2 linked regions of the Alligator mississippiensis genome follow. The protein of the gene in region 1 interacts with the protein of each later gene in a pairwise test. Links are inferred from orthologs where the notes say so. Each region holds a gene or a part of one and is shown on either strand. Other genes may lie near its edges.

Region 1 (8,085 bases):
AAGAAAACAATAATTGGGATCTGTTGCTAATCAAAGGGAATGATAAATATAAAGAGAATAGTTGTCCGATATCACTAAATATGAAGATCTTCATATATTGTTTTTCAGAGAGAGAGAGAAAAAAAAAAAAAAAACAGATTTGGAAACCCTGGCTTCAAAAAACAGATAAAAAACAGATGGAAACTCAATGTTATAGAGGACTGTCTTTTTCCCCTCTTACTGTTCCCTTTTGGCTGTTATCCGGTGTATCCAAAAGACCTCCAGAAAAAATTATGCCTGTCATACATGCTTCCCTACCAAGGGGAAAGTCTTCATCACTGACATTTACACTAAAGTAACAAGTATCACTGTTCCTGTTGCTTTAACTAGTTGCTCTCTTGAATGAAACTGTTTCAACAGCCATCATACATAAAAATGTAAAATGCATCTCTAGAAAGCTTGACAGATGGTGTTTTGAAGGATAATGCCAGGTATCTGGTGTGAATCCAACATTAGCATTCTCTACAGCTCCCACAGACAACACACCTTCATCGTTTTAAACATTCAGGTGCACTTAGATCAAGCAACACAGAGAAGAAACCAAAACAGAGTAAATTTACTCAGTCCTACTAGTTTTCTGAAATACAGATTTGGCACATATTGAAAACCCAGAAATAAACACCTCATATTTTTTCTTTGTTTCACTATACTTTGTACTTTCAATTCTTTCTTTCATGTGTTTTCTCTCACGTGCTCTCTCTCAGTACATATCTCCCCCTGCTGGGAAAATACCAAAATGCAAGGTGCAAGAATGCCCCTTTGAGAAATAAGAAATAAAAGGTTTATCATATTCACATTAGTATAACATCTATAAAAAAAGTACTGTAGTTATCTCAGCAGCAAGATAGCCAAGTATATTAAATGTGTCATTATTCATTCTGGATTTTCAGCTATCAAACAGAAGCACTCTATGAAACCTAGACTCAGTAACTTTGAGAATAATCAATAAATCATAAATCTAAGAAAGACAATATGAAGACTGCTGACCTAGAGGAAGCTCTTAATGCTAACATTACAATTTTTAAATGCTTTTATATAGCTTACAGACATAATTGACCTTTGGAAATTATTCCTAGGTTTTTAGGATAATTACATTTTTAATGTTTTAAAGGGGATCATTAAAGTTTGTTTGTTTGTTTTGTCTGATTTTTAATCTCAGCTTCATTTCTGGGCCAGTTAGAACATCTTGATTTACGCTTCATTGTCACTAGTTCTCCTTTATATTTGCATTCCAGTTTGACTGTATTTTAAATAAAGCAACTATATGCATGAGGAAAAGAAAGTACAAGGAGAGTTTAATTCATTGTATTTCTAAATATTTAAAGTGCTGTACATTAAGGTAGGACATAAATCAATAGGTATGTGACTTGTAAAAAAGGAGCAAATGATAAAGTTTTTAAAGTCTTCCCAGTTCCATAATATAGCTAACTCAAGTGCGTGAAATGCAGCTACATTACACACACTGATTGTTATAATGAGAACAAAATGTTATCTATACCGTTCTTTAGGTCACAGTACCCACCTAAAAGAAATGCAGCAAGTCCTTAATGAAATTATGTCATGAAACTGATAAACCATATCCGGTGAATACATGAAATAATAAAGCCAATGGAAAACAATGCTGCAGAATAAACATAATACTGAATTTAGTTGCTATCAATAAGCCCTAGTACCTCAAGACAGAAACCAAGACAGAATGAGTATAATGGGAAACTAACATCTGCCTTTGTGTAAATAAAATCAGGAGCCATGGAAGCCCTACCCCCAGAACCTACCCGACTGTAACGGCTCATTTATTCAATGAAACAATTTGCCCTTAATGAAAAAGCCATGAAGACAACCACTTTCCATAATACAAATAAAATAAACATACATACATACATACATACATATATATATATATATATATATATATAATAGATTTAGCTTTTAAGCTGGATGTTTGGTTCTATAAATAAGATCCTCAGTACTCTGCCAGCAGAACCTATTTGTAAGCAAGCTTCAGAAAGTATCAGTGAGTAAGAGAGGAAGGCTATCTTTATAATGAATGCTCTCTACTTTCCTAGGAGAGACAGACAAAATGTAGCTTGTACTCCGCAAAAGCAATGGCTTGCTCGTCATTGGCAAGTGGAGCTTCTACTAGAGAGAGCATGACATCGTCCACAGCGTGTCCTCATCCAGGGTTAAAAATATGCATCTAGCTGCCTCCCTACCCCCGTTTCAGTATCTCTACAGACAGCGGTGAGTGACTCGCTGGTACCCCTGTGCTTGAGAAATGCAGTGGAAATCCAAGCTACAGCTTGCATCCACAGGGACGCTGATGGGCAAGGGGCTGAGGTGGATTCACTTAAAGGAGCGGGAACCGAATCATAGAGAATGAGGGTTGGGAGGAACCTCAGGAAGGCATCTAGTCCAACCCCCTGCTCAAAGCAGAACCGTCCCCTACTAGATCATCCCAGCCAAGGCTTTGTCTAGCCGGGTCTTAAGGATGGAGACTCCACCACCTCTCTTGGTCGCCTGTTCCAGTGCTTTTCTGCTGCTTTTCTGCTCTCCTCGTGATGATGACGATGACAGTAACGACAGTAACAAGAAGCCCGCAAACACCTTTGCCCACTTGCGAAGTGGGGCTGCGTGGGGACACTGCACTTGGCGGCACCCGCTCCTGCTGGCGATGCCACCAGTCCCCCCCCCCACCGCCACCTCTGCCCAGCTCTCTCCCTCCAGGGAAGCCAAGGGCAGGGCTGCCCGGATGCCACCGGGGCGGGCAGAGGCTTGGCCGGGCTTACCTTCAGCCAGGAGGCGCATGGCGTGAACAAAGGACGGATCCAGGCTGTCTTTCTCTGCCATCAGCTCGGGCAGATATTTCTCCTGCTCCATAGCCCCGCCGCTGCCGCCGCCGCCGCGCCGCACTTCGGACCGGGCTCCGGGGGCTGCTCCGCGGGCGGAGGCTGGTGCCGGGCGCGGAGTCCCCTCGGCAGGGAGCGCGCGGGCCCGGGCCCCTCACTGCCCCATGCACCGCCGGCCGCCCCCGCCGCCCCGTCCCCACCCGTCTGCGCGACTACCGGCGCGGGCCCCTCCGGCTCTGCCGCGCTCGCCCCCTCCGCGCCGCGCTGCTCTCATAGCGCCGGCCTTAACTAGTGAGGCGGGAGCAAGATGCCCGCCCCGCCCCTTCTCCCCGCTCATTGGGCAGTGCGCTCTGGAAGGCGGAGCCCCGCCGGGCGCCTCTGCCACGCCATTGGCTGCGGCCCCTGCCTGGACGGCGGAGTGGCAGGGCGCGCCGCGGGCAGGCTGGGCGGGGCGGGGCGGGGCGGGGCGGGGGAGGCAGCTGCTGCTGTCCAGGGTGCTGAAGCGGCGGGAAAGGACTGAGCTGGGCCGGAGGCGGCGGCGGCGCTCCCCGCACAGCGCGGGAGCCCAGGGCCGCTCCGCCGCGCTGCACGAGGCTGCCCAGGGCCCGTCGCAGCGCCCCGAGCTTTCTGCTCGAGCTGAACTTGCGCCGCTGCACGGAGCCGCCGAGGCGGAGGGGTCTCGGGCTCCCTCCTCGCCCGGCTCTGAGGAGCGCCCCGGCCGGCTTCGGGCACGACCTGCCCTCAGCGGGGCCAAGAGCTTCGCTTCCAGCCACCGTCTCCCATCGCTGTCAGGGAGTCACCCCCCCGCGCGCGCACACACACGAGTATTAACACACTCGTTAATACCGTCCTTTAAGACTAAACAAAGCATTCCCCGAGACATTTATATATGATATATGTATATATCATATACACATCAAGTAGTATATCTATCTATCATATTATATATGTAGATGTAAGATAGATAGATAGATAGATATAAAATACGATGTACGTAAAATATGTATATAATATATAAATATATACACACACAGATGCAGTCATATATATAATAAATTCTATACTCGATTATATAGTTATTATATTTTATATAATAAACACAGATATACATATATACACATATATCATAAATTATATGGTAGATTATTTATTATGTTTTATATAATAAGTTACATGCACAGGTATATACATATATACATAAATCACACATTACATGGTAGATTATATATTATAGTTTATATAATAAATTAAACATGCATATAAACATGTATCATAAATTATATAGTAGATTAATTTATTATATAAAATATATAAACACACAGGTATACACATATATCATAAATTCTATAGTAGAGTATATATTTATGATATTTTCTGTAATAAACACACAGATATACATATATATCATACATTCTGTAATAGATATATATATTTATTATACTTTATATAATACACACATATACATCTATACATAAATTATATAATACTTGATATATTTATTACATTGATATAATATATTAAATATGTATCATGCTATATGACAACATGGAATACATTCATAATAAAATAATCAATCAATTGAATCAATAAATTAGATGCCCAATCCATAGTTCATCTTTAAATATATTTAAATATAAATATAGCCATAGTTGGAATATAAATATGTTCTTCTGGACGGGTTAAGAAACTTCATTGCTCAAGAGAGCACCCTCAGTAGAGCATGTTCCCTGAGCTCCTGTTCTAGTCTAGGACTCTGGTTTGTCTTATTAACATATTGATCCTGATGATCACATGAAATGAAATATTTATCCCCATTCTCTACCTCGAATGGCCCGGGGCTGCCTGTGCAGCAGCTCTTGTAGCCTTGGCTTGTGAGAGAGATGAAGAGGGAGGCAGCAAGCACCCAGCTCTGGCCGTGGCTCTGGGTTGAGCGGGCTCTGAAGAAATTACAGCTGCAGTGACAGAGAAGCTGGATCTGTGATGCTATCAAACCCAGCCAGAAAGATTCACAGCAGCTTTCATTCCATTTCCCCCTCAGTGTGTCCTATAATTGAGGGGTTACACATGTTGACAAGAACAGATAGAAAATGCCACACTGGGAAATGGGCTAGTAGTGTTTTAGAATCCTTCTCGAGGAAAAATAAGTGAAATTATTGGAGAGCAAAGTTTTCTGCAGAGACAGAAAGGGGGGGAGGGGAGGGGAGGGGAGGGGAGTGGAGAGATGTTTAATTTGAACAGCTTGTTGGTGGATAATAGGACCGTGCTAACAGAGGTGGCCAATCTCATCAGCAATCAGTCATTTTTATTTCAGATTGGAACAAGTAAGAGGGAGGGAAAAATGAGTTTTCCTCTTTTAAATAATAAACTAGCATACAGCCAGACAGTGAATGCCTCTCCTACTGATATTTACCCACATGAGTAGTCTTTATTTAGCCTGGAGGAAGATGGCATTTCATGGTGAGTGCTTCCTGAAGGAACACCACGTTACAGCTATAAAGCTGTAGGTAGCTGGGAAGCTTCCTGCCTGAAACAGCACCTCTCTTCTCATGTTTCTCACATACAGGAACAATCATCAGAACCGCTCCAAATGGTGCCTCCTTTCTTAAACCAAAAAGAGGGGGCTGGTGGAAATGTCTTGCAAGGGGCTGTCAGCAGTAACTTCAGTTTCCCACTTTCAGAAATAGAGCTTCTCAGTGGTTCTCAGCCCTCTTAGGCTGACTTTTTGAAAGGCTCAAGGCACACCCAAGAAAATGCCAGCTCTTGGTTTTCACTCATTTTTTGACAACAATGAAGTAAAAGAGCAATTCTTCTGTTGCAAAGAACTCAGAAAGGCCACAACAGCTCAGAATTTTTTATCACTAAATTGCTGTATGGAAACTCTAAGTTTCTCTTGTGAATTATATTTGCACACCTAATACTGTCAACTATGTAGTATTCTGCAACACCTCTGAAAGGAGCTCAAGGCACCCCAGGGTACCACAGAAGCCAACATGAGAACATGGCTTAGGTCTTTTAGCATTCAGGTCACACTGAAAGGCTCATCTGTGGGTCAGCCTCCTTTGAAAAGTTAGTTTTACTGGAAGCGATCTGCAGCAGACTTGCATACTTGTCGGTTACTCAGTTTTACCAGTTTATTGGAAGGCCTTGGCCAGATACACTTTATTTTTATTTTGAATATTACAGTAAAGCTATATATTTAAATGTTTCTAACATTATATGCTATATCCTCTTATGCATTAGAGTGGGCTTTATCCAGTTAATCAATTTTGTCAGTGTAGAGAATACAGAAAGTGACATCTTTTATTGCTCTTTACATCAAAGTGACCCATGACAATTTTTTCAAGGGTCTCATTTTCAAATTCTAGAGCTCAAGCCACATTGAATTAAAATGATACTTTGGCTGATAAGTTACAAATGCTTTTGATAACTGTATTTATTGGTCAAATATGAAATACAGACCTTTGGTGATGTGATGGATGACTTCTTTGCAAGCTGTAAATGGGATGTTTGTTATGCCCACTAAAAACTGAAGACACCTTTTACAAATGTTTTATTTGAATGATTGAGCCAAATTATAAGGTCATGTTAAAGGAATACTCTCCTGGGTGAAAATTTTATAAGTAGTCATTAAAAGTGACAAAATGTAAAACAAACACACCAAAAAAACACCCAAAACTATTTAAGCAGTAAAAACTTTCTCTCTACCTTCCTGCAGGGTCAACGCATAGGGGGTGCATGTGGTGGTGCACCCCCTACAAAAAGGCACAGCCAACACAGTCAGCAGTGCCTGCAGGTGGTCACTGCTTGGCACCTTGCCACTGCCACTGCTGGCGGCATCTGTGGGCAGGCTGTGATCCCCGCTGGACACTGCAGAAGCTGCTGGCAGCGTCTACGGGCAGTCTCCAACCCCTGGTTGGCGCTTGCCACCCTCCCCCACTTACCGCTGCCGTGATCCTGCTGCCATCCCCCCACAGCCACCAGAGACATGCATAGTTCATGACTTCCTGTATCTTTAGCGACACTAAGTGTTATTAATTTTTAATAATTTATTCTTAAGGACTTGTTGCTTGCTTTTTGATTTCAAGAAACTATATGAGAGCAAGCCTTTTGATGGGTACAGCCAAATATAAAAAGACATAGTTCTTACATTTGGCAAGTAGCACAGCTCCAAAAAAACCCTGATTATGACAGGTGAATCTTAGTGCATCTACCTCTGAACTCAGTATTGTGTCCTGTTGTAATAACTTTGAACGTAAAGGGCACTATCAGTGTGTAATTTCATAAATATTTCTAAACTTACTGGCACATGTTAATATATATTATATTATATATATATATATATATATATATATATATATATATATATATGGCCGCTGCAACAGAGTTACTCCCCTCTACTACTGCCTGCTGCAGGCTCAGGCAGAAGAGCTGGCTCCCCACTGCTGCGTGTGCTCTCAGGACGCAGTGGGGACCTGCACTCCCCAGATCTGTGTGGGGGTAGGAGTGAGATGCCCACCGTGGGCTTGGGCACCCACCCTGCTGCCATCCCCTGGGGCCTCCTCAGACTAGCATGTGCGACCCAGAGCTGCAGGAACAGCAGAGCTGTGCAGGAAAGTTATTTGCCACTGTGAGCTCTGTGCTGTCTTGGCGATGCATCCTCCATGTGAAGTGAGGGAAGTGGCATGGGTGTGTGCTGCTCACTGCAGCCCTATGTGCAGGGGATGCATCGACAGGGCAGTACGGAGCAAGCAGCGGCAAGCAGCTTTCTTGTGTGGCTCCACTGCCCCAGCGGCGCTGGGTTGCACCCACTGGGCTGCAGAGGCCCCGGGGAGGGCAGAAGGGCAGAAACCTAAGTCTGCAGCAGGCAGTGCACACCCACGCCCACCCCACACAGATCTGGGGGTGCAGGTCTCCCCTGTCCTGGTGACATGTCCTCCATGTGTGGGACTGCAGTGAGTAGCACAACCACACACGGCTTCCCCTGTTGCCCCTGCACATGGAGGATGCATTGCCAAGGTAGCGTGGATCTTGTAGCAGCAAGGAGATCCCTACGCAGCTCGGCTGTTCCCTGCCATGCTGGGTCACACACACTGGGATACAGGGGCCCCGGGGGGGGCAGCACGGTGGAAAGCCAAGCCCACTGTGATCAGCCCGCCCCAACTCCCATCCCACGTACAGATCTGGGGGGAGTGGGTCCCCT
Region 2 (8,189 bases), on another chromosome or scaffold:
TATCAGCAGACTATGTTTTCCACCTCTCTACAGCCGTGAAAACTTCCGGCTGTCCAAAGCTTGAATCCGAACACCGAGTACAGACAGCCCTTAAGTGAGGATGCGGCATGGGCTAATGGAAGAAGTAATGATCTGCTGAGCGAGACATGGCCACGTGCTTCTATCCTCCGTAAAATAGGCATGAATGATGCGTGGTATCTTCGTATGGAAGTACCCCCATGTAAAAAGGCAAATACTTCTAAAGGAGAGAGACCTTGAGGAAAGCTACAGTGCTGCAGGAATCGGGGCCTATGAGTAAATCGTTCATGCTCTTCCTTATAACAAGGAGCCCCTGGCTTCAGTGGGCGCTGGGGTAGTCACGAGATTTGGGGAGCTGTGGTCCATGGCAGGGGACGAAGGTGAGGAAATAAAGATCATCCCAGCACGCCTTTATGACCTCTCCCACCGTGGTGTTAAGGACCGATGTGCTATCAGGGATGACTTTTTAGGTGCAAATGCAATCGCGGTGTTATCAGGGGATTTATTATCAGGGGTGTATCATCTCAGGTGCTGTGCAACCACATAGGAAGATACGGTCTCTGCTTTGAAGCGCTGATAGGCTATGAAGACTGTTTCTATTCATGACAGATCCAGTGGCTCTTCCACTGCATTAGGTTTGTTGTGGCTGCAGTGATTTCTCATTGGGCAATCGAATGGTAATTAGAGTTTATCTCAGCCGGGGAAGGTAAATATCCTCCAAGCCCTAAAATGTTTGGTAGTTTGATTTAACAGAGTGCCCACCGCAGACAGATGCACCGCAGCGCTGGTAAAGTTAATTTTGCACTATGTATTTGCCATTTAGTTTGTCAGCTATTTTGTGATCTGGGGCTGAAAACTGCTGTGTAAATGTCAGCCGCTATTATAGAAATATTAACTAATTACATATAAATGGTGCATACGTTACTTTTCAGCAGGTAGTTAATTCCCTGACAATATAGGAAGTTTGCGGGGCTGGCAAATGTTTGAGATGCTCTCCCGGCGCCGCTGTCAGCTCTAATGTCACAGAGATCTATCAATGTCTTGTGATGCAGCCCTGACATGTATTAAGAGATCTTCCTGAAACGAATAGCTCCAGGTGCCAATTGTGTGAAACAAGAACTCATTGCAGCGCCAAGGAGGTGAAGGCTCGGAGCATATGACTGCTGCAAAAGACTTGTTTACAAGCTCAGGAGACATATGCTATTACTAATGCCCTGGATCAGCTAGATGGGAATCAGAGGATGTAGAGCAAATGAAGCCTCTTGGGAATGCAAGAACGGGGGCAAGGCAAGGATGGGGCCTGGAAAGATGCGGTCTGGCTGATCTGGTTTTAGCAGCGTGACCCTGAAACCGTCCTTATTCGCATGTCAGAGAGAGCAGAATCAGGTCCTTCATTTTGGGGGGTTCGATGCAGATCCTACTGCAGCCCCCCTTGCACTGGCGTTGAAAGGAGAGGAGGAATCAATCACATGGCAAGGTGTGGATGTCCAGCTATGCTCACGGAGCGAGGTCTTTCCTGCCCTAGAGCAGGGGACTGGACCCGGCAAGGTCCCTTCCAGCATCTATGAATCTGTGTAAACTGAGGATCTACCCCTTGCAACCGGAGACGGAGCAAATATGGGAAGGCCGGGCACTGAGCTGTAGTTGTAAAGTAAACATCAGGCACGTCAGAGGAATCGAATCCGGGTCAGTTTTCTACTGGGAGCAACAGTAACGCAAAAAAAAGTTGTTTTAAAATAAATAATAAAATTGCTTCTTCCTTTTCATACCGCCCCTGTCCCTGGCCAGAGATGGCTCTCGGGCTCTGCACTCCCAGCCAGTGACTTGTTCTTTATCCCCGCTGCTAAAATGGCTCCACACTTCAAGGTCACTTTATCTGGCCTCATTGTGAACCAGAAATGCTTATGTTAATGCCTCTCTAATTTAATCAAAGCAGGGCTGCTAGGGATTCAGGCTCAGGGCTGCGTGGCTGGCTTGGGATTTTTTTCCCCCTTCTCTTCCTCCTTCAAGGACAAAAATTGATCTTCAGATCCAAGCAAGCTCTGGATATCCCTGTCCTTTTTTTTTAAAAACCCATGGACCATGAAACCTGCTGCAGTATCAGGGGGGATTAAAAATAACCCACGATGCGTCCACGTTTGCAACTGAGAGTTGATATCACCGTTCAAAACATATACCTGGCATTTAAAATCAGCAGCAAGCAAGTGGACTGCGTTTGCAGCAGTGCACCATGTCGTGCTGCCCTTTAACAGTAGCTTGCCGTTTGAAATCACTGAGTGAAGACCTTTTATTGTATAGTCTTTTGTTTTATTGCAAAGCTTCCCAGATACACTGAAGCCCCAACAGCATGTGTATAAAATGTGTTATTTTGATGACATGCCCTTGCTAATTTGCACCCAAGACGGGGGGGGGGGGGGGGGGGGGGGGGGAATGAATGAGGTCTGCAAATGAAGCAGCAAGCAAACATGCACAATAATGAGCAGGCATCATCCCACATTTGTTATTCGTTTATTAAGAGAACTGCTTCAGCGGTAATTATTTTATAGACTGCTTTACTGTCAAAGAGGGGTGACTGTTGTTTTTGCTGTGCATTTGTCGGGATACATGATCCCTTGGCACCCACCGTACGAGAGCTGCAGACTGGTTTCTACAGGGAAGTTTTGCCAAGAAGAAGTGAAACCACCATGTTTGCATGTTTGGTTTGGGGAAGAAAGTTTCTCCAGCGTTTTGTTTTATCGTCCCTACGTGGAGAAGCCGCTCGCGACCGTGTAAGACGGAGCAAGTTTGCAGCGAGGAATTCCCCCCCCCACCCCCCCGGTTTTGGGGGGTTTTTTTGCTCGCAGCTCACACGTGCACAATGTCAAATCAAGGCAGAAAAGACCAATTTCCCTCCCGTGACGAGTACAGAAAACGAACGCTCGTTATTTTAGATAACAGCTGTGGGCAGACGACTTATTTGAATATGGCTACGGTTCCTTTTGCTGCTTTTGTTTCAGTACCCTTTAGGAAGCCAGCTCTGACATTTGAGAGTAAACACGTCGGAAGTGCATAGGGAAGCCCTCGGTTGTTTTTCTCCTCTCCAGTTTTGACCCCTAACGGCTGTTGAGGGTGGAGGAGGAAGAGAGACAGAGAGAGTGATCTGAACTGCGAAGGAAACGAGGTTGAGGTTTCTTTCGCATCGCGAGCCTCATCCGAAGAAGGCGCCGTCTCCCCCTCGGCGGCGACACGGCTTCGCGCGGCGCGGCTGCGTTTTGAGCGGAGGACGCCGCCGTAAGAGAGAGCGCAACATCAAGCGATTCGTTATTTCGTGCGTTATACATGTGCATTCCCACGGGGGATATGTGTGTGCCTGCGTGTGTGTGTGTGTGTGTAGGACAGCTGGTTTCCACAATTTGCATACGGGAATTTTTCCCATGCAAACCTCCTCCTCTCAGCAAGGAAGTGGGGCGTTGAAAACCCGGCGGAGAAAACCCGCTCGGAAGCCAGGACGGCATCGCTGTGCACTGCGGAGGGGGAGGGGGGGCGTCCGCCTGCCCAGCCTCGCACATGCGTGTGTAAGGGCCGCGGTGTGGAGCTACCGCCGCACAAGTCGCTGGACGGGACCGGCTCGTAACGCTCGGACCAGGCCCGTCCCCGCGACGTGCACCGGCGTTACAGGCGGAGCAACGCCGCCATGACACGGCACCGCGTTGTAAATCAGCTCCTCCCGCCGGGCCCACGTGCGGGGCAGGCCTGCTTCACAGGCATCCCGAGCGGCCGTTCCCCTCCCGACCCGCCGCCTCCCTCCTCGCTCCTTGTCGCGGGTTCGAAGGCCGCGAGCGTTGCCGTCCACGGGCTCCATCTTGCCCAGGCTCACGGGTGCGAGAGAGCGAATTGGGCCCTGACGCCCCTCGGCAACTCTTCCCTGCCACGGCGAACCGTAGGGTGGCCATCATGGAGGACAGCCCAGGTGTCTTCCGTCCTCAATCGATACGAAACCGGACGCCTTTATTTTTAAAAATAGAGGACGTTTCCGTATCGAGCGAGGACGGAGCGGCAGAAAACCGGGACGTCCTCCCCGACGGCCACCTGAAGGGGCGCCGTGGGGGGGATCGGACCCATGAGGACAGTCGCATTTTGGGGGAGACTCCGGGCAGCGAGGCCTGAGGCACGTCTTGCGTGGTGTGGGAAATACACCTGGGAACAGGATGGGTCTCTTCGGAGGGAGGACGGGGCAGCTGAGGAGACGGAGGGGAGACGTGGCGCCGTGAGGAGACTGAGGGGAGTGGTGGCCGCGAGAAGACGGCACAGGGAGAAGCGTGGTGGGCGCGTGAAGTGATTCGCGTGAGGGGCCATAGCAGCGAGGTGGGGACGGTGCTTGGGGACACGTCCAGGGGGGTTGTGTGGGGCTGCGAAGGGGGGGAACGGCCCTCGGGAAGAAGCTGCCTGGATCCAAGATGGCGCCCGCCCCCTCAACCGCCCCTTTGTCTGCAGCAGTGGCGGGAGCCGCATTGCCGAGGAGGCGCGAAACTAGGGCACCGCGGCCCCGCCCCCTTTCCCGCCTCGGGGGACTGCGGCGCGGGCCGGAGCCAATTGGAACTCAGCACTCTCTTCTCCCCCCTTCTCCTCTGCCAACGGCACCCCGCCCTCCTCCCTCTCCGCCCAATCAGTGCTTCCCGGCCGCGCTCCGCCCCCACGTGGGGTGGGCACGGATTTTTGATGAATATTAATGTGACACTGCCCAATCAGGGCAGCGGGGCGAGGAGGAGGGGCGTGCCGCTGCCTCGCAACCGAGCCGGGTCTCGTTTGCATATTTATGAGAGAGGCGGGGTCGGAGGGGACATATATAAACAGCGTCTCCGTCCGCCTCGGCGTACTTCGCGCTGGGGTTTGGAGGTGCTGAGTGGTTCGCGTCCCCGCCGATACAGGTAGGGGGAGGGGAGACGGGGGTGGCGAGGTGAGGTTGGAGGGGAGGGGAGGCAGGCAGGCAAGCAAGCAAGCAAGCAAGCAAGCAAGCAAGCTAGCTGCATCGTGCGAGCTACTGGTTTCCTCTGTGAGGGCCCTTCGGCCTGGGCCCTGCCCTCAGTTTCCCCTTCCCCGTGGCGGTGGGTAGGCCGCGCAGGGCCAGCCGCGCTGTCCCAACCGTCGGTGGGGGTGGGGGGGAGGTTTGTTCTAGAAACAAAATGGCGGCTGCACTCGCTTGGCGCAAAATGGCGGCGGGGACACGCGGGCCGCAGTGCGCATGCGCCAAGTGGGCGGGGCCAGGAGGGCGGTGCCATGACTTGGCTGCGTGCAACGCGCATGCGCGGGGGAGGCGGCGCTGTGCACGCGCACAACAAAGGCTTGCTCTGCCTGTGGCTTGGGATCCTGATTGGGTCCCGGGGCCCTGGTCTATAGGTGGGACAAGCGCTGCGAAGGGAAGCCTGGGGTGGTCTGTTGCCTTGTATTAGATTTGGAGCCTGAACAGCATGGGATGAATTCAGGAACTGCTTGGACTGCTGAGGCATGAGGATCTCTGGGATCCCTGCCTCTATCAGAAGGGTGCTTGGGTAGTGTGCAGGTCTCATAAGCAGGGATTCTGGCTTTCTCTGATGTAAAAAAACCCCCCAAAACCCCACCCCAATTTCAGATTAAAAAAAAAACCCAATTTTTTCCACAATTAGATTTATAGCAGCACTTCCTTTTGTCTATATTTTAGTGCTGCTTTGTTCTAATTGCAGAAAAATGTGGATTTGGGGTTCCTCTTCTAAATCTGAAAGCTGGGGATTTGTTTTAATCGGAGAAAATGGGCATCCCTGGTTATAATGCCTTGTTTGATCAGCCCTGGGTGGCTTTTAAACTTTTTTTTAAAGAAAAAACCGGTTATAGAAATCCTAATATTTGTTTTGTAAATGGGCAGTGTCATCCTACCAAGTGCATAACACTTGTAAATGAAGCTTGTGGATAGATTTGTATTTCAGCTTTAGTTTTTTGAGTGGAGGTAACAGCTTGATGCTGGACTGGCAGCTGGGGTCGTGGTAGAGGTAGCTTTAGACTGAAGTCGGGCAGAAGTTGTGCCTTCTAGATCATCTGCACTGGAGACTTATTTAATAGGCTTCCTTGAGCCTGTGTTCACTCTCCGAGCTAATCTCTCCCCTGGGGGGTGGGGGGCATGTAGGCCCCGCCCCAACCAAACTTGTAATTTGCTTCAGAGATGGACTGATGCACTTCTTTTTTTTTCCCCTCTGCAGATCAAAATGGCATCAGATGAGGGAAAGCTTTTTGTTGGTGGACTGAGTTTTGACACCAATGAACAGTCATTGGAACAAGTATTTTCCAAATACGGACAGATATCTGAAGGTAAGATTAAAACTGTAAAACTGCAGACTGAGAACTTTAATTTTTCTGTGGTATATAATGGGTTTGTGCAATGTAATTTTTTCCCCCCCTTTTTCAGTTGTGGTGGTGAAAGACAGAGAAACCCAAAGATCAAGAGGCTTTGGGTTTGTCACCTTTGAGAACATAGATGACGCTAAAGATGCGATGATGGCTATGAATGGAAAGGTAAATAGATTTGTGTCCTTTTTCCCTGATGTGGGGTGGGGGCAGATTTGGGGAGGCCTGTGTCCATTTTCCTGCTTTTTAAAGCTATTAACCATTTTGTATTTAAATGGTCCTGTAAGATGTGAATTTGGAATTAAAAGTTAGATTGAAGAACTAAATATTTACTGCAGGTGTGAAAACAAATGTGCAAGTTGTAGATGAATCCTGCTTGCTTTCTAAAAGTGTCTTGGCTTTCTTTAATTTGATGGCGGTTGGTTGGTTGGTTGGTTGGTTGGTTACTTCATGTGAAAGAGCCATCTATTGATAAAAATGATAGATTATTTAGCACTTGATGCCTTCAAAGTGTGTTGCAGGACATTGAAGTACTGATTTGGGGTTTTTCTATTTTCAGTCTGTTGATGGGCGCCAGATCAGAGTGGACCAGGCCGGTAAATCATCAGAAAACAGATCTCGAGGATACAGAGGGGGTTCAGCTGGAGGCAGAGGCTTTTTCCGTGGAGGCAGAGGTCGGGGCCGTGGTTTTTCTAGGGGTGAGTCAGTATTGCTGACTTGCAGCAACTGACTTTGTTAAGTGCCGAATTCAAGGTACTAATACTGCTCTTTGTATGTTTTCAAAGGAGGTGGAGACAGAGGCTATGGTGGAAGCAGATTTGACTCCAGAAGTGGGGGATACAGTGGCTCCAGAGATTATTACAGCAGCAGGTAAGTGCATGTGGAAGGCCAACAACTGTCCTAAGCACATGTGAAATAATTAACCTCAGAGGGGATGTAAATTTACTCCAGACAGAAACAGCACAATAGCTTTAATATGCAGGAGTTCAGGTGACTTTTAAAAAACAGGTGCTTGTTTTTCAATCAGCAGGAGTCAAGGTGGTGGATATGGTGACAGATCTTCAGGAGGCTCCTATAGAGACAGCTATGACAGTTATGGTAAGTCTTAGTTCAAAAGGGAATGGAAAGTACATTGCTGTAGGAACTCGACCTCTTGACCTCATATTGAAGTCTGGAAATACTGTAAGCCTCAGGTCGGAGCATATCACCTGTTTTTGTTCTTGCCCATAAGAACCAGTCTATTTGTCAGGCCTTGGATGTGGTTGTGCCATTTTAAATTCCTAATCGTAATGCATGTGTAGGACTTGCTAGGATCTAAGGCAAAGCAAGTATTAAATGCTCACCTTCCTCAAACTGGAGAAAACGGCAAAACCAATGCCCTAACAAGCATTATCACGGGTGGGGGAAATTCTCTTTTTAAAACCTAATGAAGTAGCACTAGCCTCTGAAATAATACAAGGGAGTGAAATGCTGGAACTTGTCTATGCTTCAGTGCCTTTACAATTGTGCCTGCTTCTTGTCCTCAGCTACACACAACGAGTAAAAATCCTTCCTGACTCAAGATCGTCCTTCCAATGGCTGTATTTATAAAGATTTTTGGAGCTTCGCTGAAATCGTTATTGTGTAGTACATCTACTTGTATTTCCACTTTTGTAGTATTATCAGTTCTGATCTTGTCAAAACACAGCCTGACAGCTTCTGCTATGAGATGGTCTAATTAGACTTTTCTTTAAGAAAGCTCTGCTTTCAAGTGTTTTTAATCTTTTTTTGAAAGCACTTCAGATTTTATTTTCTTTTGTGATGAGCCAAGGTTACTT

Evidence for each region. The genes of interacting proteins can lie anywhere in the genome.
Region 2: the proteins of KHDRBS2 (region 1) and CIRBP interact in binary tests that used the Homo sapiens proteins (3 or more experiments, as listed by UniProt). The two-hybrid records come from large-scale screens. The link is inferred for Alligator mississippiensis from reciprocal best matches to the Homo sapiens genes KHDRBS2 and CIRBP.

What each region holds. Positions count from the first base shown.
Region 1 is NC_081824.1:53,082,483-53,090,567, forward strand, and holds the start of KHDRBS2 (KH domain-containing, RNA-binding, signal transduction-associated protein 2), read right to left. Parts: upstream 3,060-8,085; 5' UTR 2,917-3,059; coding exon 2,826-2,916; intron 1-2,825. UniProt on the Homo sapiens protein: RNA-binding protein that plays a role in the regulation of alternative splicing and influences mRNA splice site selection and exon inclusion. Binds both poly(A) and poly(U) homopolymers. Phosphorylation by PTK6 inhibits its RNA-binding ability.
Region 2 is NC_081839.1:2,680,777-2,688,965, reverse strand, and holds the start of CIRBP (cold-inducible RNA-binding protein), read left to right. Parts: upstream 1-4,842; 5' UTR 4,843-4,925; intron 4,926-6,227; 5' UTR 6,228-6,233; coding exon 6,234-6,336; intron 6,337-6,433; coding exon 6,434-6,540; intron 6,541-6,931; coding exon 6,932-7,046; coding exon of another isoform or gene 7,047-7,070; intron 7,071-7,157; coding exon 7,158-7,242; intron 7,243-7,399; coding exon 7,400-7,470; intron 7,471-7,898; coding exon 7,899-7,915; 3' UTR 7,916-8,189. UniProt on the Homo sapiens protein: Cold-inducible mRNA binding protein that plays a protective role in the genotoxic stress response by stabilizing transcripts of genes involved in cell survival. Acts as a translational activator.